4 linked regions of the Saccharomyces cerevisiae S288C genome follow. Changing the gene in region 3 together with the main gene of any one other region gives a genetic interaction. Each region holds a gene or a part of one and is shown on either strand. Other genes may lie near its edges. The genes, in order: FIT2, AAD10, YFH7 and MLG1.

Region 1 (5,175 bases), on a different chromosome or scaffold from region 3:
TATACAGCTGCAATAAACAGAACTCCTATCCAGTATAAGCAAATCGTCACTCCATAAACATTTCCTTTGTCTATATTATCCAGGGGCCCAAAATAAGCCCATACCCACCTATCTAGAGAGGCTTTATTGGGAGTGACGGGATATCGTATGTTTTCCTTTACCTCATCAAGAGGCCGGATGAAAAGGGATGCATTGGCAAAAATTCGATAATACTCCTCATTGCTGACGACCTCATCTTTGTGATAATCGTGGCAATACTGATTAATTTTGCTAAACGTTTTTTCGAATATTTTTTTACTTTTCTTCCTACTGTCGAGAACATCCTTCGCGCAATGTAACCAAGACCCTAGTGCTGGTTCATAAGTGCAAAGAGTAGCGTGCCGACCCTTCACATCCGTGTCAAATTTGTGTGATTCCAATTCTTTAGCACAAGCATCAATTGCTATCTGGTCCCATTGCGTTCTTTTCTTAGTTGATGCTGGTTTTGCTAAAGAACCTGGTGCCAAATACACCAACAGCAGCACTAATCTAGCGAAAAGCATTCGAAATCTGGGTGAATTAAATTAACTGCGACAAAATTGGTGATGTGACATACCGAAAACGCTACATTACACATTTGCCAAGTAAAAAATTGACGCTCCTTTTTTAATGATCGCTAATGTAATGAAAAGTAAAAATCCAATTAAACGAGGAAGCGGTAAAATATGATTGCTGTGTAGTAATGCCACAGTCTTCTTAGTCCTACCTATGTCCTAGATTTTTTTTTGCACCCTGTTTGTTCCGCACCCCGCTATCCCATATTTTTTGATGTATGTGAAGGAAAGCAATCTAAGGGCTCAAGAGCCGAGTTCCGCCATTCTAGGAAAGGGTGCAAAAAAATGGGGTTCAATTATCGTTCGAGATTTGTTATTTTTTTTTTTGTAAAAGTTGATTTATGGGGTATTTAAGCCAAGAACTATTTGAAGTATTAGGAGGTAATATGAATGTTCGAACAGATACAAACAAGTACTTCCACTCGCTTAAAAATAACTAATAACAATAATCCCTAAAATGAAATTCTCTTCCGCTTTGGTTCTATCTGCTGTTGCCGCTACTGCTCTTGCTGAGAGTATCACCACCACCATCACTGCCACCAAGAACGGTCATGTCTACACTAAGACTGTCACCCAAGATGCTACTTTTGTTTGGGGTGGTGAAGACTCTTACGCCAGCAGCACTTCTGCCGCTGAATCTTCTGCCGCCGAAACTTCTGCCGCCGAAACCTCTGCTGCCGCTACCACTTCTGCTGCCGCTACCACTTCTGCTGCTGAGACTTCTTCTGCTGCTGAGACTTCTTCTGCTGATGAAGGTTCTGGTTCTAGTATCACTACCACTATCACTGCCACCAAGAACGGTCACGTCTACACTAAGACTGTCACCCAAGATGCTACTTTTGTCTGGACTGGTGAAGGCAGCAGCAACACCTGGTCTCCAAGTAGTACTTCTACCAGCTCAGAAGCTGCTACCTCTTCTGCTTCAACCACTGCAACCACCACTGCTGAAACTTCTTCCTCTGCTACATCCTCTAGCACCGCTGAATTATCTAGTTACACCGGTGCTGCTGATGCCATCACCGCTGGTACTGGTTTGATGGGTGCTGCCCTTGCTGCCGTCATGTTATTGTAAATGATATGTGAATAATCATGCGGGATATCCGATTTTTATGAAGCACCTTGCGGCTTGGCCTTTTTTCGAAGTTATGTTAGAATAAAAAAATTTTAATAACACACATTAAGTATGTATGTATATATACTGTTTCAAGTTCGTTGGTCTTCCTTTAATTGTTTGAAACGGTTAAAAGTATCTAATTAAAATAAATATACCCGAAATCATACTAAAAAAATAGTTAATATTAATAAAAGTAATGATAATAATAATAATAACAATAATAATAATACGATGATGATGATGAAACGAAAAACTGCTACATTGAAGTCACTGAGAAACGTAATGAAAAAAAGTCCTTTTTACTAGCCTTTTGAAGGAGAAAGACAATTATATTAGCTTTTCATAGATAAGTTATAAATATGCTATACACGATAACTAATAGCTTTTTTCTGGTTTGAAACCGAGCTTATAATAGGTAAGAAATCAAACCAAGGGCCAATGCACCGACACTTGCTCCTTGGAATGCAGCAGGAGCAGCACCAGAAGAAGAGGCAGAAGAGGAGGAGGAGGATGAGGAGGATGAGGAGGATGTAGATGATTCGACGGCTTGAGTGACGGTCTTGGTGTAAAGGTTGGTTGATGAACCTGAACCGTTTGTCAAAGTAAGTGTCTTTGTTGTACTCTTTTCAGAGGTGGTATCTGGTCCTTCGGTGACAACCTTTGTGTAAGTAGCATCACTATTACTGACAACGACAGTTCTAGTGGTACTGTAACTAATGATAGGGTCAGCGGTGTCGGTAACGACCTTAGTGTAAACGTTATTACCGTTAGTAGCAGTAATAGTCTTAGTGGTCATTACACTCGACACAGCTGCTGCCGAGACGGCAGTCATAACTGTAGTAGCTCCGAAAATAGTTGAGAATTTCATTATTATTGTTTTGTGATGGCTTTATGATAGACTTTTTTACAAGGACCGTAAAATTCTGCCTGAAGCACGCACACATTCCTGTTTTATACATATATTGCTAGGTAATATAAAATGCTAATTATACTGCACCCAGTTAGATTCGTATACATCTTATCCGAACTCGATTACAAATTATACAAGTGATCCAATTGGGTGAACCTCGAAACAGTTCTCTGTTCAAGGGTCCGCTGCGGGGCGAGGGGGGGTGCATTTGAACTTAGGGTGCATTGTTTTAAATCCTATACAGGATATGAACTTAGTTAGTTCAATGATCGCTTGATAAATTGCACCCTGCTCTTGAGGGTCATTCTAAGTAATGAAATTTTGGGTGTTTTTGTTTGCCGTCCTCGTTCAATTCGCTTCCGCCGTTCTGGAAGCCCCGTTAACTTCCGTTCCCGCATTCCGATCGCTGTAGGGCTTGGCGTCAGTAGCACCCAGATATTTCACTGTAGGAGCTTACTTCACTCATTTCAATTGGTATACAGAAATCTATGAAATGTAGTTAAAGGCATCACTAATCCGCATCCGCGATACCCGCAACATATACGGAATGTCTATGTAAAAATGTCTCCTGTGACTTTCATTAATCGAATCTTTCTATAAAAAAAAAAATGAGCAAATCACAGTACACCCACTACTCGCATCATCAACGTTGAGTCAGTAGCAAAGTCTCCAGTTATGGTGCCCTCTGGTCCAATTGTAGTAAATTCGTTTGCACGGATGAAAAATAGCTCATGAATGTTCTTGTGTATTTGAATACCATTATGTGCGCGGCTCATACGGATTTAAGTGTGATCTTCCCCTCCGTATTCCCTGTCAATAACTCAAAGTTTTCCCATTTCGGTTTGAAGTTCTTCACAAGGGAGTTTCTTGGCGCAAAGGCATGATGATCGCATTTGCCTCAGTATATTTCGTCATTTCGGTACTGAGAAACGAAATTATTTTGCCTGTTGTCTTGCGTTTTGGCAACCCTTAAGAATTCATCTAATATGTTGGTCCTTAAAGATAAGCGCTTTTGCTTGTAAAATTCTGATTTTTTGTCTTGTGATGGTAATGCTACATTGAACATCAATGCGTATCTGATTTTAAAAAAAAAATTAGAAGTGTGTATAAAATGAAGGTATTATCAGTTGAGCAAATATTACATGTGCTCTTCAAAAGTACCTGCTTTTCATTTAGTGACTATCAGGATGATAACGCCGCTCGTCTTATTTTTAACTGTCGTTTTCTGATAAATGTGTTGAAAACGTGCTAAACAACAATTACCTGTTCTCAAGAGCCTTGAGCCTGGATTGAGAGCAAAAAATCTCTCTTTCATTTTATACAGAATTCGGAAAGAAGATGGATATTTCATGAAAATCTGTTGGTAAAAAGTGGATAAAAATTTTGTATTATTAGTATGTTCTTAGTGGTTAGGTGATAACGAAGCGAGAAAAGCAGGGCAAATGGAATAGAATAGCGTGTAGTTGTTAAAATTTTATTTCACTGAGGCTTATATGCTTACTGAGAAATTTTTTTTTTTTACAAAAAACTTCTTTTTATGTTATACCAGCTGTGGATTACCACAACAATTGGAAAGAACATCAATCCAGAAAAAAAATTCAGTTAATTTGGAGGAAGAGAAATTTAAGTCATGGAACAAGAGTGGGAGACAGTTAAAAAATGCTTCCAAAGATTAGTAGATTGAAAAAGTTTGTGAAAGTCGATCAATTGTCTTCATTGCAGCTAGACATAAATTATGTTTCAGGTCAAAACAATTAAATATATACTTGTGATAGGTAAAATAGTGAGGAAATAAATAAGGTAATTGATTACCAACTTTGGTATTCTTCAAAGTATTCGATTGCCTTTGCAGGCTTCTCTAGAACAAGATTTGCCGTTTGATCCCTTACTTCGTCAACGAAAACAGGAGGCCCACAACAAACCACAGCTAACGATCCATTTAGGTCACCAACTTCATGCAGAAGCTTTTCAACATTGGGTCTTCCATGATGAAAAACAGTACCATCAAATTCAACTGGATTAGGTGACTGTTCTAGGGTAGTTGCCATAACAACACCTTTTCCATCGGCCTTCTCGTCTTGTTGAGAAATTTCCAAACTATCATTAGGAGTTAATGCCGGAACTTCCATTGTATTGTAGATGTGAAGCTGTACATTAAGATCTTCTAGACACATCAGCTCCGGCTTGTAAGCCTCGAGTACGTTAAACCCTCTAACTGCAATCACTAATTTTATGAATTGTTTTCCAGTTGCCGCTGACGTTTTTCCAAGTTTAATGGCGTGTGCAATGGGCCCTGGCAAACCAGTACCTCCCGTAAGTAGCAAGACGTTATCATAATTATTGACTGGAGATGAAGAGCCATATGGACCTTCTATAGCTAGTCTCATAGATGCCTTACCTCCATTGCAACACACATACTTTTTGACAAGTTTTGTTACTCCCTTTTTTTCCTTCAGGATAATAGTCAGCTCACCATCTTTGATAATTGAATCTAAGACTGTGAAAGGATGTGACTGCCAAAAATACAGGTGGTGTAGGAATGAAACGAAAACATACTG
Region 2 (5,782 bases), on a different chromosome or scaffold from region 3:
TAGATTTAACTGGGTTAAGCAGTGGTACTACTGTTACGTTTGAAGGCACAACCACATTTCAGTACAAGGAATGGAGCGGCCCTTTAATTTCAATCTCAGGGTCTAAAATCAGCGTTGTTGGTGCTTCGGGACATACCATTGATGGTCAAGGAGCAAAATGGTGGGATGGCTTAGGTGATAGCGGTAAAGTCAAACCGAAGTTTGTAAAGTTGGCGTTGACGGGAACATCTAAGGTCACCGGATTGAATATTAAAAATGCTCCACACCAAGTCTTCAGCATCAATAAATGTTCAGATTTAACCATCAGCGACATAACAATTGATATCAGAGACGGTGATTCGGCTGGTGGTCATAATACGGATGGGTTTGATGTTGGTAGTTCTAGTAACGTCTTAATTCAAGGATGTACTGTTTATAATCAGGATGACTGTATTGCTGTGAATTCCGGTTCAACTATTAAATTTATGAACAACTACTGCTACAATGGCCATGGTATTTCTGTAGGTTCTGTTGGTGGCCGTTCTGATAATACAGTCAATGGTTTCTGGGCTGAAAATAACCATGTTATCAACTCTGACAACGGGTTGAGAATAAAAACCGTAGAAGGTGCGACAGGCACAGTCACTAATGTCAACTTTATCAGTAATAAAATTAGCGGCATAAAAAGTTATGGTATTGTTATCGAAGGCGATTATTTGAATAGTAAGACTACTGGAACTGCTACAGGTGGCGTTCCCATTTCGAATTTAGTAATGAAGGATATCACCGGGAGCGTGAACTCCACAGCGAAGAGGGTTAAAATTTTGGTGAAAAACGCTACTAACTGGCAATGGTCTGGGGTGTCAATTACCGGTGGTTCTTCCTATTCTGGATGTTCTGGAATCCCATCTGGATCTGGTGCAAGCTGTTAATCCTCTTTTAAAGTACTCATATGACTATACATACCTTCTTTTCTTTTCTTTACTATTCAATACATAACAGAACAAAGATGCAGGAAAATATTGGTATTTGTTCGGCAATTTATGCTGGGTTTTTTTGTAAATTCAGGTCTAATTATTACTGTTGATTTGTATCAAGTTGGTATCTTTTTTGCCATTTAATAATAGAGATACGCTATGCTCATCCGGATAGCAACAATGAGAGCCTAAAAGTCCTAATTGAGAAGAAAATCTCTGTTCAAGACTATAGTTTATGTTTCATTCTGGACCCTTGGGATCGTCTGAAACAGGAAGGTCAATAATTGGTAAAAAAAATGGTAAATGCGACTAAGTACTACAATTGAAACGAATGAGCGCACTTCATCTGCCTACAAAACGCTGCGGCTGAAAAAGTTACATAAAAAACCGTCCTCAATAGCGTTAATCCAGCGTACATGAGAAAGTAATGACAAAGTCTTCGGTAATATCAGTGCATCTACCAATATGACACAATTGTGAAACTTCGCTGACTCAAATAATAGCCCTGTTTTTTTGACCATTGTTACCCATCGAGCCAGTGAGAAAAAAGCCAAAATATCTTTAAGGCCTTCTCCATTTTATGTTTATCGATATTGTGTTGTCTGCAATATTGAAATTTTAAAGGCTATTTACTTTGCCTCTTGTTATAAACTAAGTCTGCCGAATTATGCAATATATAGCAAAAGCTGAAAATAGATGTAATTACATAATTCGCAGTTGTATATGAGTATCCTTAACTCGTACATTCCAGTTCATCTGTGACAAGGCACTGTTTTCCCTAATAATTATTAGGGAAACGTCCTTCAAAAATCAAAATAATTTTAGAGAGTCTCATCAACCTTCGCCATAGTTCGTGATGAAAACTTTACGGTACGTCAGACTTTAGATATTGATTTTTTTATTATTTCTCCCATCGTGAGTACAATTACCCTAGTTCGAACTATATCTTTCATTACTGGCGGAAAAAAAATTCAACGAATGTTCTTGGCTCAATATAGCTTAGTATTTATGTTTAAAGAATTTGTAATATGCGTTACTAGTAATTCCTTTGAATTTTTGAATGCTTTAACTGTGAGTTGGCGTACATGCAGAAACGGCCGTTTAAAATTTTACCGATTGCAGTGACAGAAAAGCTAGTTGAATATTTGTTTACATAAGCGATTCAGATAGACCCCTAATAATATCAAGCTAGATATGCCTGTTGGAAACTTCTCAAAACCTGCGCTAGACGTCCCACGCAATCAACTTACAGATATGTCAGTGCTAGGGAAAAGCCATAGAATGTTGAAAAAAGCGAAAAGGGTTTACTAACTTAGGCAGGTTGAAAAGCTTCTCGAAAAATAATACCTTTTGGTAAAACAACGTAAAGAAGTACTGCCATAACGTAGAATTCTGCAGTTATGAACATACTACAGGCGAAATTGCTAAAATTAATGAGGATAGTCAAAATTGGGTTATGAATCAAAGTTTTTTATAGATTTTCAGCACCGGTGTGGCTAGTAGTCGTCCATACATGACTCAAAGAAAAAAAAAATAAGTGACATAACGCGAAGTGAGGCATTATTGGGCTGCTAAAGAATTTTACGTTGGAAAAGAGGCAAGATTGTCTCATTTTCCTTCAAAATGAAGGTACTGCTGCCCCGGAGTAATAGTAATTTATTCTCAACAGAAATAGAATATTTAATTAATCAGAGTCTAACATTAAGGTCATGTGTTGATAGCAGGTGACGCGTCTGTAAAACTAATAAAGTATATAAAGCACATCCATGAGATCTTAAGACGAGAGATTTCCCCTACTCAAAGTACAAGCAGGACAGATTCAAAACGCAATCCATACGATGAACACAGATTCACACAACCTTAGTGAGCCATACAATATAGGTGGCCAAAAATACATTAATATGAAAAAAAAGGAAGATCTTGGCGTATGCCAGCCTGGCTTAACGCAAAAGGCATTCACAGTCGAAGACAAGTTCGATTACAAAGCAATTATTGAAAAAATGGAAGTATACGGACTTTGCGTGGTCAAGAATTTTATAGAGACCTCCAGATGTGATGAAATATTGAAAGAAATCGAACCGCATTTTTATAGATACGAATCATGGCAAGGCTCACCGTTTCCTAAGGAAACTACTGTGGCAACGAGATCGGTTTTACACTCATCTACAGTCTTAAAGGATGTGGTATGCGACCGTATGTTTTGTGATATCTCAAAACATTTTTTGAATGAAGAAAACTACTTTGCGGCGGGAAAGGTGATTAATAAATGCACTAGTGATATTCAACTGAACTCCGGTATAGTCTACAAGGTTGGCGCTGGTGCAAGTGACCAGGGCTACCACCGAGAAGATATTGTTCATCATACGACCCATCAAGCATGTGAACGTTTCCAGTATGGAACCGAAACCATGGTAGGGTTAGGTGTAGCTTTTACAGATATGAATAAAGAAAATGGCTCTACGCGAATGATAGTCGGTTCACATTTGTGGGGTCCGCACGATTCCTGTGGGAACTTTGACAAGAGGATGGAATTTCACGTTAATGTTGCAAAGGGAGACGCAGTTCTATTCTTAGGGAGCCTCTACCATGCAGCCAGTGCAAATCGTACGTCACAAGACAGAGTTGCTGGATATTTTTTTATGACAAAGAGCTACTTGAAACCAGAGGAAAATCTTCACTTAGGGACTGATTTGCGAGTGTTTAAGGGTTTACCATTGGAAGCCTTGCAACTGTTGGGGCTCGGAATTAGTGAGCCATTTTGTGGTCACATAGATTATAAGAGTCCAGGACATCTTATCAGTTCTAGTTTGTTTGAAAATGATATCGAAAAGGGGTACTATGGAGAGACAATAAGGGTGAATTATGGGTCCACGCAATAATCATTGTAACGGGAAAACATATCACCACAAGTTCGCTGTAAATGTGCAGACTGGGTGGCATGCTTCAAAAGCCTATTCTAGTACTTCCCTGCTGTTTTCGCACGGAACCGGTAAGAAAACTTCGTACCGAAATCGAACAACTTTCATTACTTGCACTTGTACAAATTTAAGGGAGCGGGATTTTAAAACATATAAAAGGATAGTGGCACAACTAGGAATAAGGTGTATTACCCAATATGATTCTCACCTTCGGTTGGGGACTGGTTAATTAATTGAATAGCTTCATAACCCACCGCCGCAAAATGTGCTCTTCGAAATGTCTGAGGCTTTTGGACCTGCACCTGAACCACCTACCGAGTTAGGACGTCTTAGGGTCCTATCTAAAACAGCTGGTATAAGAGTTTCTCCACTAATCCTGGGAGGTATGTCTATTGGTGACGCCTGGTCTGGATTCATGGGATCAATGGACAAAGAACAAGCTTTTGAGCTACTTGATGCTTTTTACCAAGCAGGCGGAAATTTCATTGATACTGCAAATAATTATTAGTATGAGCAGTCAGAGACTTGGATCGGTGAATGGATGGCATCAAGAAAACTGCGTGACCAGATTGTAATTGCCACTAAATTTACCACGGATTATAAGGGGTATGATGTAGGCAAGGGGAAGAGTGCCAATTTCTGTGGGAATCACAAGCGCAGTTTGCATGTAAGTGTGAGAGATTCCCTTCGTAAGTTGCAAACTGATTGGATTGATATTCTTTACGTTCACTGGTGGGATTATATGAGCTCCATTGAGGAAGTTATGGATAGTTTGCACATTCTTGTGCAGCAGGGCAAAGTACTCTATCTAGGTGTGTCTGATACTCCTGCCTGGGTTGTTTCTGCAGCAAATTACTACGCCACATCTCATGGTAAAACTCCCTTTAGTATCTATCAAGGTAAATGGAATGTATTGAACAGGGACTTTGAACGTGATATCATTCCAATGGCTAGGCATTTTGGTATGGCTCTTGCTCCATGGGATGTTATGGGAGGCGGGAGATTTCAGAGTAAAAAGGCAGTGGAAGAGCGGAAGAAGAAAGGAGAAGGCTTGCGTACCTTTTTTGGTACTTCGGAACAGACGGATATGGAGGTTAAAATCAGCGAAGCATTGTTAAAAGTTGCGGAAGAACATGGCACTGAGTCTGTCACTGCTATTGCCATAGCTTATGTTCGGTCTAAAGCGAAACATGTTTTCCCATTAGTGGGAGGAAGAAAGATCGAACATCTCAAACAGAACATTGAGGCTTTGAGCATTAAATTAACACCAGAACAAATAAAGTACTTAGAAAGTATTGTTCCTTTTGATGTCGGATTTCCCACTAATTTTATTGGAGATGACCCAGCTGTTACCAAGAAACCTTCATTTCTCACCGAAATGTCTGCCAAGATTAGCTTCGAAGATTAGTCAAATCAATAGTTTTAGTATGTTCATAATGTGAAAAATGTTTATATATACGCTTACACACACAGTTTGATGATTCAAATACTTAGAGAAAACTTTGCCGCTCATGCATTTGCAGGCATCTTTTATTGTGTTGATTTTGCGAGGAAATAAAGTGTTAAGATAAAGGGAGTTCATTTAAAGCTTGTATACATGCTCTGATACATAAATATGTATGTCTATATATCGAGTAGGAAACAACAGCTAATGTGAAATCATAAACAAGTCGTAGAGGAAGGCTGGGCTGAACGAGTGACGAAGCACGTTTAAGCTGGAAGAGCCAATCTCTTGAAAGTACCTTCCTGTCTGCATTTTTCTTGATGAATAGCCATCAATCTTTGAGCTTCCAAAGGATCAGAAACCTCTTCTGGTTCTGGCCAGGACAAGTATTCATTAGTGTAGTTCGAGACATAGTCTGGTGGCAGAATGGCTAATCTCTTACCGTAACCGGTAACCTTCTTCCA
Region 3 (5,594 bases):
CCGGGGGCCCAACGATGGCAACGTTGGATTTTACCACTAAACCACTTGCGCTTGTTTTCTTGTGAAAACTATCCTTGGATAAATCAATAATAATGTTTGTAACTTCTCTAACCAATTTGAGATGTAACGAATGATAATTAGTGTGTTGGAATAAAAATCCACTATCGTCTATCAACTAATAGTTATATTATCAATATATTATCATATACGGTGTAAAGATGATGACATAAGTTATGAGAAGCTGTCATCGAAGTTAGAGGAAGCTGAAGTGCAAGGATTGATAATGCAATAGGATAATGAAACATATAAAACGGAATGAGGAATAATCGTAATATTAGTATGTAGAAATATAGATTCCATTTCGAGGATTCCTATATCATCGAGGAGAACTTCTAGTATATCCTGTATACATAATATTATGGCCTTTATCAACAATGGAATCCCAACAATTATCTCAAAATTCGCCAAATAGTCAAGTATTATAGCCTTGATCAATAATGGGATCCAATAATTATTAAACTATTCACCCAATCTTCACAGATCTTCTAGTCAACGAGGGAAAATCCATATTTCTAAATAGTATTATTTATCCTTGCACTTCAACTTCCATTGAAGCTGATGATTGTTTCTTAATTTTCATGTTATCTTCTGGCAGCGTATATGAGATTATACTAATTATATGAAAATATATTAATAGTATAGATACTAATCGGTAAACGATAATCGACTCTCATCACAACAAAATGCTTTTGCAAATATTGAGGAAATTATATATGTTTATTAAACATATATATCCTGTGTATTTATAGAGGCTTTCCTCCAACATTTTATTATTTTTGGCAAATAATACAGTAGCTTAGGATATCTTACGCACGCAACTGCAGGAAAAGAACGTCAAGACATTCTGTGAGTTGTTTTCCCGCAAAATGTTCCACCGTCGTTACTTTTTCAATTTCATAAACATATATCAGAATGGAAAAAGCCTTCATAAATGAGCTTCGAATTTTTGCGCAATCTCGAATATAAGAAGCATGTATATTTGTCATCTTGCTTTCATTGGAAGCAAAAGGGCAAAGTTTCAATCTTGTGCATGTAACCTCAGTAGTAATCTATAAGTGTGAGATATATCTGTCAATTTTTGCAGACCATTAACATTTTCCAAATACATCTTGAACTCTTCATCTTCGAGGGGAATTGTCTCCGTCTGGAATTTCTGCCTAATCAATTTGATAGTCTCTTTATGATGCATTAGAATGTTTCCTCTTAATTGGGCGACAATGTAATTTAAAGAGTCTTCGGAGTAAGACAATAAATCCATGGATTCAAGGGTTACCTGCTTGGATTCCTGTAAACTTTTCCGGAGCATTGAATTTTGGCGCTTCAACACTCCTAGCATAACGTCATCTTTCGCATTTTCATCCAGATTGTTGCTTAGTTGCTCTTTCTCAGTAATAGGAGCTTTCCCTCTTTGTTCTAGAAATCTATTAAATAATGCAATATTTTCCGTGGTATCGTGAGGTTCTTCAGATGTCTCATACTTGTTTAAGCTTCCGGATAATATGTCTATGTTCCTTAGTATTTTCGCCTTTTCTGCTTGATTTTCCCTCAACTGTTTCACTAGCTTGTTAACTAACAAGTACATATGATTCAAGTTTTCTGCTTGAGGAGACATATATACTTGCTGCTGCTGCTGCTGCTGCTGTTGTTGTTGTTGCATTGACAAAACGTTGATTTGGTCACTCATATCTAAACCTTGGCTTGAACTTCTTGTAGAATCAATATGTATTACTTCCCATATATGTCGTAATAAAGGGCACCTCTGCAGAGTTCATAAAGAATGCCGTTTTTGCTTGCGCGCCTTAATTATCTGTATTCAGTTCGATTTTACAAAAATATATACAAGGTTCCGCCTAACCTTCTAGTCGTTGCGGATATGGACGATATTATCTACCTTAATTAAATGATTATCTATATCCCTGCCATTCAACAAATCATTGCTGCGAAACTTCTCTCGTCCTTCTGCAATAGTCGTGACTAACCCTGATTGCAAATGCCTTTTGGCCACCCTTTCTTCGGTGGCCTCATAGTCTATGTCAATCTTATAAACAAGAAGTGCTCCCGTATCAGCTAATGTTTTGTAAATTTTCTTCCAGTTTTCTTGGTCATACAGTAGGTATAACCCTTCAAGTATAACTATCCTTGTAAATTTGGAAATACAGTACTGATCTGGAGTTGGGTCTTTTAGTGCATGGTTAAATCCTGGAACAAAGATATCAGGAATTGTTTGGCTAAAAGTTTTGGATAACTTCTCAAAAACGCTTGAAGTGGAGTAAAATTTATGATGTGAGGAGACCTTACATAGGGACGTCTTGGCTAGAATTTTACACAATTGTAAGAAATTGTTACTGTCAAACGTTGAGGGCGAACCTCTTCTTTTATGGGCAGTTTGTGGGTCTTTGAATAGGTCTAGACATCTGCGAGATAAGTGAAAACCATCCATTGGGACTATTTGCGCTATATTGATACTATCCTGGGCCAACTTGTTAACATTGACTGGATTATCAACTGCTGCGATTCTTATGGCATTCGCAGTACCACCTCTGGCAACTACTGCGGTACATTCTTCATTATTTGATGTAAGGGCTGAGTACTTGACTGGTTGAAAATTAACATCCTCAACATGATCTTTAAACAGCCCCTGATTTTCAATCATTTCAGCTACTTTATTGGGCTGGAGCGTCTTTAAAGAGTCTACTAGGTTAACCATAGGTTTCAACCTATCATTAACCTCAATAACATTTGGATGCTCTGACAAAAATGTGTGATATTTTTCATTTATAATTTGACAAAGTTCTTCCGCAATAGTAGACTTACCGGAGCCTGGAGAACCGACTAGGATAACACAAACCCTATAATTATCTTCGATACGGTTATCCAATAGCTGAAGAACGTCGTCTGCTAGTTTATGCGTATCGACCATTGTGGCTAGAATGATCCTCTGGTATGATACAGGATAAAATATGTATAGTACTAGTGAAATTAACCTAACAAGGTTACTTCATTTTTCCCGAAGAGCAATACTTGATGATGCTTAAAGGTACGCATTTAATGAACGAAAAATAACACAGTTCGTTTGAGTAAAAAGAAAGCTCACAAAATTTAATACAGAAAAAAAATTATATGTAAACTGTGGACAAGTCTGATAAGCCCAGATAACCCTTCTATTTCACGAAGGTGCAAGTGCGATTGAAAAGAATTGTTTCATGGCATTAGCTATCAGGACACGAATGCATAATCGTCAAGATATTATCGGTATGCAGCAGTTGAAGTTGTTATTAATGTTATAAGGCACCATCATATGTGGCTTTGGGATGATCTTCCGCCGATTGGTGTTCATATTACAAAAATTTTATCACGCTCGAGGTTAGAAGATGGCATCAATTATGAGGCATGAATAACAAGGTTTAAGCACTAGTAATCATAGCGGATGCTGAAACGCCAAGGTTAATGAGTTCATAAGATTAACGAATAACGAGAACTTAGGTATGAGTCAAAATTTTACTTTCATAATAGATTTATCGAAAATGTGATCAATTTTCTGAATAATTTGATAACTGTTGGGATTGCATTGTTGATCAAGACCATAATATTATGTACACAGAATATGCTAGAAGTCTCCTCGAGGATGTAGGAATCCTCAAAATGGAATCGGTAGTTCTACATAATAATATTACGATTATTCCCCATTCCGTTTTATATGTTTCATTATGCTATTACATTATCAATCTTGCATTTCAGCTTCCATTAGGGTTGATAACTGTTTCTCAACTTTTATGTCATCTTCCTGAACCGCATATGATAATATGCCAATAACATGAATATTACCAAATGGATGGCATTTCAAATTATTACTTTAACAAAAAGGAACCAAATAACTCATATAATAATTACCTATTTCTCAAATAGGTGGACGACGGTTTATCCAATTCCAACAATAATAGTAATTACTAATATTATGTAGATTTTTCGATCCAAGTCCTCGAGGGCGACTCATAGGAATGCTATCTTCAATCAACAATGACATCCGAATAATTATCTCAAGTTTTACAACATTCTCAAATATTATGGTAAAAAGAAAACTTTGCAATCTGCAAAATTCTCGAATTCTGAATCGCTAGATTTCCTTATGAGAAAAGTCACATTTAAAGGTGTTAGCAGCTAGTTATTATAGTCCTATAGTTCCTGTAACAATGAATTTTTCATAAATAGAAGCGGATTTAGCTCAGTTGGGAGAGCGCCAGACTGAAGAAAAAACTTCGGTCAAGTTATCTGGAGGTCCTGTGTTCGATCCACAGAATTCGCATTCATTTTTTGCTCTTCGGGGTTGGTCCTTAATTTTTTCAGTGCCATTCCTTATATTTCCAAATCTAGTTAAATGGTGAATCCAAGATTATAAAAAAAATATACAATTCTGTGTACAAAAGAATATACTAAACTTCTAGAAGCGAGTAAAAAAAAGTTAATACCTAAACGATTACGTGGAAACCTGAACGGGGTTTCTTCAAACCTTTTTGAACGATTTTTTCAATTTCATCAGGGTCAGAAGTAATACCAGTTAAGTTCTCGTAACCATCTTTGGTAACAAGGATATCATCTTCAATTCTAACACCACCGACATACATGTATCTTTTCAATACGCTCATATCGACAACTTCCAATCTTTCGGGGTGCTTTTCCAAAAATTCTTTGATCAAAAATTGATTAAAGTAGCAACCTGGTTCATTAGTGATAACCATATTTTCTTTCAAAGGACGGCGGATTCTTAAATATCTAAACATTGGATCTGGGTCGTCATAGTTTGGATTACCACCAACGTCGTGTACATCAAGCCCCAACATATGCCCTAGTCCATGGGGATAAAAAGCGCAAGAAGCTCTTCTTTTAAAGATTTCGTCCTCAGAAAACTCTTTCTTGAAAATACCCATACTTAAGAAATGTTTAATAAGAACCTTGTGTGTCAGTGCATGTAAATCGTCCCATTTAGCACCAGGTTTAATCCTTTCCATTGCTTGGTTTTGCATGTCAAGAACGGTTTCGTAAACTTCACGATGTTCCGCAGTAAACTTGCCTGAAGTTGGGAAACATCTGGTGATATCACTTGTATATTGTCTCCATTCTGCACCTGCATCAATTAAGATGGAATGTTTACCTTTGATATCTTCTGAATTCTTGACGTAATGTAAAGTGCCACATGCCGGTCCAGAACAACAAATGGGGTCATAGCCCAAAGAACGACCACCTTGACGGGTTGCATGGTATTCAAATTCAGCTTGTATTTGTAACTCGTTCAGTTCGATGGGCAACGCGGACATAACGGCCAAATGGCTCTTGTCTGAAATCTGACAAGCTTTTCTGATGCTTTCAATTTCATACCAATCCTTAATTGCTCTAGTTTCATCCATAGCATAAAAGAAGTTAGGGTCTGAAGGAATTAGTGATCTTGCAATATTCTCGTCATGAACATTGTCCAAATCGGTTGTAAAGATAGCGAAGTCTTGCAATTCTTTAAATTTTTTCCCCAGATCAGATATGTA
Region 4 (5,775 bases), on a different chromosome or scaffold from region 3:
TGACTCGTGTTGCCTCGAGTAAACGGTATGTCAAAAAGAATAGGTCCAAATATCATATATATAGCACCTTGAACCCAAACAAATCCAATTACAGTACCCGTAGCTCACATATGTAGAAAGAGCTTTGCCTGGCACAAGCAATAATGTCTATAATCAAAAAAATTGTGTTTAAGAGATTCAACTCAACTTTGAAAAAAACTGCTCTTCATGACCTTCATGTGTCATTAGGCGGTACAATGGTACCATACGCAGGATATTCCATGCCCGTACTATACAAGGGACAGACTCATATTGAATCACATAATTGGACCAGGACAAACGCTGGTTTATTTGATGTTTCTCATATGTTACAAAGTAAGTTATCTGGTCCTCATTCTGTTAAGTTTCTGCAACGTGTAACGCCCACAGATTTCAATGCCTTGCCTGTTGGGTCAGGGACCTTAAGTGTTCTATTAAATCCACAGGGAGGCGTGGTAGACGATACCATCATCACTAAAGAAAACGATGACAATGAGTTCTATATTGTGACCAATGCTGGCTGTGCGGAAAGAGACACCGAGTTCTTTCACGATGAGCTACAAAATGGTTCTACTTTAGATTGTCAATGGAAAATCATTGAAGGTAGATCACTATTGGCATTGCAGGGTCCTAAAGCAAAAGATGTGTTGGAACCACTTTTATCAAAAACAGCTCCTGGAAAGGATCTAAAAGAGTTATTTTTTGGACAAAGACATGAATTTGCGTTAAAGGACGGTTCTTTGGTTCAAATTGCTAGAGGCGGGTACACTGGTGAAGATGGATTTGAGATAAGCATTGCAAATGAGAAAGCGGTTGAGTTTGCGGAGCAACTCTTGGCCAATCCAGTAATGAAGCCTATCGGACTGGCTGCTAGAGACAGTTTAAGGTTGGAAGCTGGTATGTGTTTGTATGGTCATGAATTGGACGAAAGTATCACACCAGTAGAAGCTGCGTTAAACTGGGTGATTTCAAAGTCAAGAAGGGACCTAGTAGATCAAAAGTACTGGTTCAATGGCTATGCCAAGATAATGGACCAGCTAAACAATAAAACGTATAGCAAGGTACGAGTCGGATTCAAATACTTGAAAAAGGGGCCAGCTGCCAGAAATGGTGTCAAGATCTTCTTGCCCGATGCCGAAACAGAGGTCGGCCTTGTTACATCAGGTAGTGCATCTCCAACTTTAAACAACATCAATATTGGACAAGCTTATGTACAGAAAGGTTACCACAAGAAGGGAACGAAGTTGCTTGTTCAAGTAAGGAACAAGTTCTACCCGATTGAACTTGCTAAAATGCCTCTTGTGCCCACACATTACTACAAGCAGTAAACTGAGCGAAATAATATTCAGTTGATAATGCGTTTATTAAGAAAAGAAAAAGAGTAAAAAAATAATTTGCTATTTTGATCTAGTAAAGACAAATACAAAGATGCTTACGCTCAATTCCTTTATTTTTTTATATTTATGTAGCTTTTTGTATATTCTTAAGGACTTGTTTGATCTTTTACCCCTTCGCGTGGAGATAGGCTGCGCGGTTACTTTTATTAGAACGTACCCCAGATCTGTCCGTCGAAGGTTAAAGAAATGAACAAACAACCCTACGTACGACTGTGTTTTGCAGTTTAAGAAGGATGAAGCATTCCCAAAAATACCGTAGGTATGGAATTTATGAAAAGACTGGTAATCCCTTTATAAAAGGGTTGCAAAGGCTGCTTATCGCTTGCTTGTTCATTTCAGGCTCGCTGAGTATTGTCGTTTTTCAGATCTGTCTACAGGTGCTTCTCCCTTGGAGCAAGATTAGATTTCAAAATGGTATAAATCAAAGTAAGAAGGCTTTTATCGTTTTATTATGCATGATCTTGAACATGGTGGCTCCCTCTTCTTTGAATGTCACTTTTGAAACATCGCGGCCATTGAAGAACTCTTCTAACGCCAAGCCATGCTTTAGATTTAAAGACAGGGCTATAATAATTGCAAATCATCAAATGTATGCAGACTGGATTTATCTCTGGTGGCTTTCCTTTGTTTCAAATTTGGGTGGTAACGTTTATATCATCCTGAAGAAAGCTCTGCAGTACATACCATTACTGGGATTTGGCATGCGAAATTTTAAGTTTATATTTTTAAGTAGGAACTGGCAAAAGGATGAGAAAGCTTTAACAAATAGTTTGGTTTCTATGGACTTAAACGCGAGGTGCAAGGGGCCCCTTACAAATTATAAGAGTTGTTATTCCAAGACAAATGAATCCATTGCCGCTTATAATTTAATCATGTTCCCTGAGGGTACAAATCTAAGCCTCAAGACAAGAGAAAAAAGCGAGGCATTCTGTCAAAGAGCACATTTGGACCATGTCCAATTAAGACATTTGTTATTACCGCACTCTAAAGGCTTGAAGTTTGCAGTAGAAAAACTAGCTCCTAGTTTAGATGCTATCTACGATGTCACTATTGGATATTCTCCCGCCTTGAGAACGGAATACGTCGGCACCAAATTCACCTTGAAGAAAATATTCTTAATGGGTGTCTATCCGGAGAAAGTAGATTTTTATATTAGGGAATTTAGAGTTAATGAGATCCCTTTGCAAGATGACGAAGTTTTTTTCAATTGGTTACTGGGCGTGTGGAAAGAAAAAGATCAACTGCTAGAAGACTACTACAACACAGGCCAATTTAAAAGTAATGCTAAAAATGACAACCAATCCATCGTTGTTACGACACAAACGACTGGATTTCAGCACGAAACATTGACACCCCGTATCCTTTCATATTACGGGTTCTTCGCTTTTCTTATTCTTGTATTTGTGATGAAAAAAAATCATTGATTTAACCTTAAACCAAACATAATTAAACCTGTATTTCATATATTATTTCCACTTAGCTTAGCCATCCACAACGGTAAAGTTACAAATATATAAGTAATAGTTGCTTTCATAAAAATTATTAACACTTCTTTCGAACTCATCGCAGAAGTGTCGCCGGCCCCTCAACTTCGCGCCGTATCGCTTTTTTTTTTTTTTTTCAATACAGGATCAAGACGAAAAACACTTTTCTGTTCTTGTTTGTCTCTGTTGGTTGGATTATATCTCCAACAAAAGGGAAAATCCCAGTTTGACCTTATTATATTAGAATTGTCTTTTGTCTTCTTTCTTTCATTTTGTACATCTTTCTGTCTTCTCAAATCTTTTTTTTATTTTTTGTATATATAAAACTAAAGCTAAAAGACTATGGATACCTCTCACGAAATTCATGATAAAATACCCGATACATTAAGAGAGCAGCAGCAGCATTTGCGCCAAAAAGAGTCGGAAGGGTGCATAACAACATTGAAAGATCTTAATGTACCTGAGACGAAGAAACTTTCCTCCGTCTTACATGGCAGAAAGGCGAGTACATATTTAAGAATTTTTAGAGATGATGAATGTTTAGCCGATAACAACAATGGTGTAGATAGCAATAATGGCGGGTCCGTGACATGCGCGGACAAAATAACAAGGTCAGAAGCAACTCCCAAATCGGTACCAGAAGGACTACAAGTTTCTGAAAAAAAGAATAACCCAGATACTTTGTCCTCTTCATTGTCAAGTTTCATTTTATCTAACCACGAGGAGCCGGCAATTAAGCCCAATAAACACGTGGCGCATAGAAATAATATTACTGAGACAGGTCAAGGCTCTGGTGAGGATATCGCAAAACAACAATCACACCAACCACAGGTGTTACACCACCAGACTTCTTTAAAGCCAATTCAGAATGTTGATGAGGGATGTATTTCGCCTAAGTCCACTTATCAGGAGAGCTTACATGGAATATCGGAGGACTTAACGTTAAAGCCTGTTTCTTCTGCAACATACTATCCTCACAAAAGTAAAGCAGATTCTGGTTATGAAGAAAAGGATAAAATGGAAAATGATATTGATACTATTCAGCCTGCCACCATAAATTGTGCCTCTGGTATAGCGACACTTCCTAGTTCATATAACCGACATACTTTCAAAGTTAAGACATATTCAACTTTATCACAATCCCTAAGGCAAGAAAACGTCAACAATCGTAGTAACGAAAAAAAACCTCAACAGTTTGTGCCACATAGCGAATCAATTAAAGAAAAACCCAATACGTTTGAACAAGATAAAGAAGGCGAGCAAGCGGACGAAGAAGAGGATGAAGGTGATAATGAACATAGGGAATATCCCCTAGCAGTTGAACTAAAACCATTTACGAATAGAGTTGGAGGTCACACTGCAATATTCAGATTTTCGAAGAGAGCGGTTTGTAAGGCTCTAGTGAATAGAGAAAACAGGTGGTATGAGAATATAGAGCTGTGCCATAAAGAATTATTGCAATTCATGCCACGTTATATTGGTGTCCTGAATGTTAGGCAACATTTTCAGTCAAAAGATGACTTTTTAAGCGATTTGGATCAAGAAAACAACGGTAAAAATGATACCAGTAATGAAAACAAAGACATAGAAGTCAATCATAACAATAACGACGATATTGCGCTTAATACAGAACCCACGGGGACCCCCTTAACACACATACATTCCTTCCCCTTGGAACATTCGTCGAGACAAGTACTTGAAAAAGAGCATCCTGAAATTGAGTCTGTCCATCCACACGTGAAAAGATCACTGTCAAGTTCCAACCAACCTTCCTTGTTGCCCGAGGTTGTATTAAATGATAACAGGCATATTATACCGGAATCTCTGTGGTACAAATATTCCGATTCTCCAAACTCGGCACCGAATGATTCGTACTTTTCGTCCTCCTCTTCTCATAACTCATGTTCGTTCGGTGAGCGTGGCAATACAAATAAATTAAAAAGACGCGATTCTGGGTCCACCATGATCAATACTGAATTGAAGAACCTAGTCATAAGGGAAGTATTTGCACCGAAATGTTTTAGAAGGAAAAGAAACTCTAATACGACTACAATGGGAAACCATAATGCGCGTTTGGGTTCCAGTCCATCTTTTTTAACACAAAAATCAAGAGCCTCGTCCCATGATGCATCGAATACGTCTATGAAGACTCTTGGTGATTCATCGTCACAAGCGAGTTTACAGATGGATGACTCGAAAGTCAATCCGAATTTGCAGGATCCTTTCTTGAAAAAATCGCTTCATGAAAAAATATCTAATGCTTTAGATGGCTCGCATTCAGTAATGGATTTGAAGCAATTCCACAAAAACGAACAAATAAAACATAAAAACTCTTTCTGCAACTCTTTATCACCCATTCTCACTGCAACCAATTCTAGAGATGATGGCGAATTTGCCACCTCCCCGAATTATATCAGCAACGCACAAGATGGTGTTTTTGATATGGATGAAGATACGGGAAACGAAACTATAAATATGGATAACCACGGCTGCCATCTTGACTCTGGTAAAAACATGATTATAAAGTCATTGGCGTATAATGTTTCAAATGACTATAGTCATCATGATATTGAATCAATTACGTTTGAGGAGACGTCCCACACCATTGTTTCAAAATTTATCTTATTGGAAGATTTGACAAGAAACATGAACAAGCCTTGTGCACTGGATCTAAAGATGGGGACAAGACAATATGGCGTAGACGCCAAAAGAGCCAAGCAACTGTCACAGCGTGCAAAGTGTTTAAAGACCACTTCTAGGCGTTTAGGCGTTAGAATCTGCGGATTAAAGGTTTGGAACAAAGATTATTATATCACAAGAGATAAATACTTTGGTAGAAGGGTTAAGGTTGGTTGGCAATTTGCTAGGGTACTTGC

What was found.
Region 1: mutations in YFH7 (region 3) and FIT2 together harm fitness more than expected from each alone (negative genetic interaction), as found in Saccharomyces cerevisiae (one large-scale study listed by BioGRID).
Region 2: mutations in YFH7 (region 3) and AAD10 together harm fitness more than expected from each alone (negative genetic interaction), as found in Saccharomyces cerevisiae (one large-scale study listed by BioGRID).
Region 4: mutations in YFH7 (region 3) and MLG1 together harm fitness less than expected from each alone (positive genetic interaction), as found in Saccharomyces cerevisiae (one large-scale study listed by BioGRID).

The regions. Positions count from the first base shown.
Region 1 is NC_001147.6:1,056,931-1,062,105, reverse strand, and holds FIT2 (Fit2p), read right to left. Parts: upstream 2,576-5,175; coding exon 2,114-2,575; downstream 1-2,113. Other genes in the region: FRE5 (putative ferric-chelate reductase), read right to left, coding at 1-542; FIT3 (Fit3p), read left to right, coding at 1,051-1,665; YOR381W-A (uncharacterized protein), read right to left, coding at 3,516-3,683; FRE3 (ferric-chelate reductase), read right to left, coding at 4,426-5,175. UniProt on the Saccharomyces cerevisiae protein: Involved in the uptake of non-siderophore and siderophore sources of iron. Has a role in the retention of iron in the cell wall and periplasmic space.
Region 2 is NC_001142.9:722,990-728,771, forward strand, and holds AAD10 (putative aryl-alcohol dehydrogenase), read left to right. Parts: upstream 1-4,415; coding exon 4,416-5,282; downstream 5,283-5,782. Other genes in the region: PGU1 (endo-polygalacturonase), read left to right, coding at 1-911; YJR154W (uncharacterized protein), read left to right, coding at 2,795-3,835; THI11 (4-amino-5-hydroxymethyl-2-methylpyrimidine phosphate synthase), read right to left, coding at 5,585-5,782.
Region 3 is NC_001138.5:156,685-162,278, reverse strand, and holds YFH7 (Yfh7p), read right to left. Parts: upstream 2,981-5,594; coding exon 1,919-2,980; downstream 1-1,918. Other genes in the region: FAR7 (Far7p), read right to left, coding at 1,079-1,744; YFR006W (putative Xaa-Pro dipeptidase), read right to left, coding at 4,527-5,594. UniProt on the Saccharomyces cerevisiae protein: ATP-dependent kinase that could be involved in endoplasmic reticulum membrane assembly.
Region 4 is NC_001136.10:479,734-485,508, reverse strand, and holds MLG1 (putative acyltransferase), read left to right. Parts: upstream 1-1,648; coding exon 1,649-2,839; downstream 2,840-5,775. Other genes in the region: GCV1 (glycine decarboxylase subunit T), read left to right, coding at 144-1,346; inositol polyphosphate kinase KCS1, read left to right, coding at 3,242-5,775.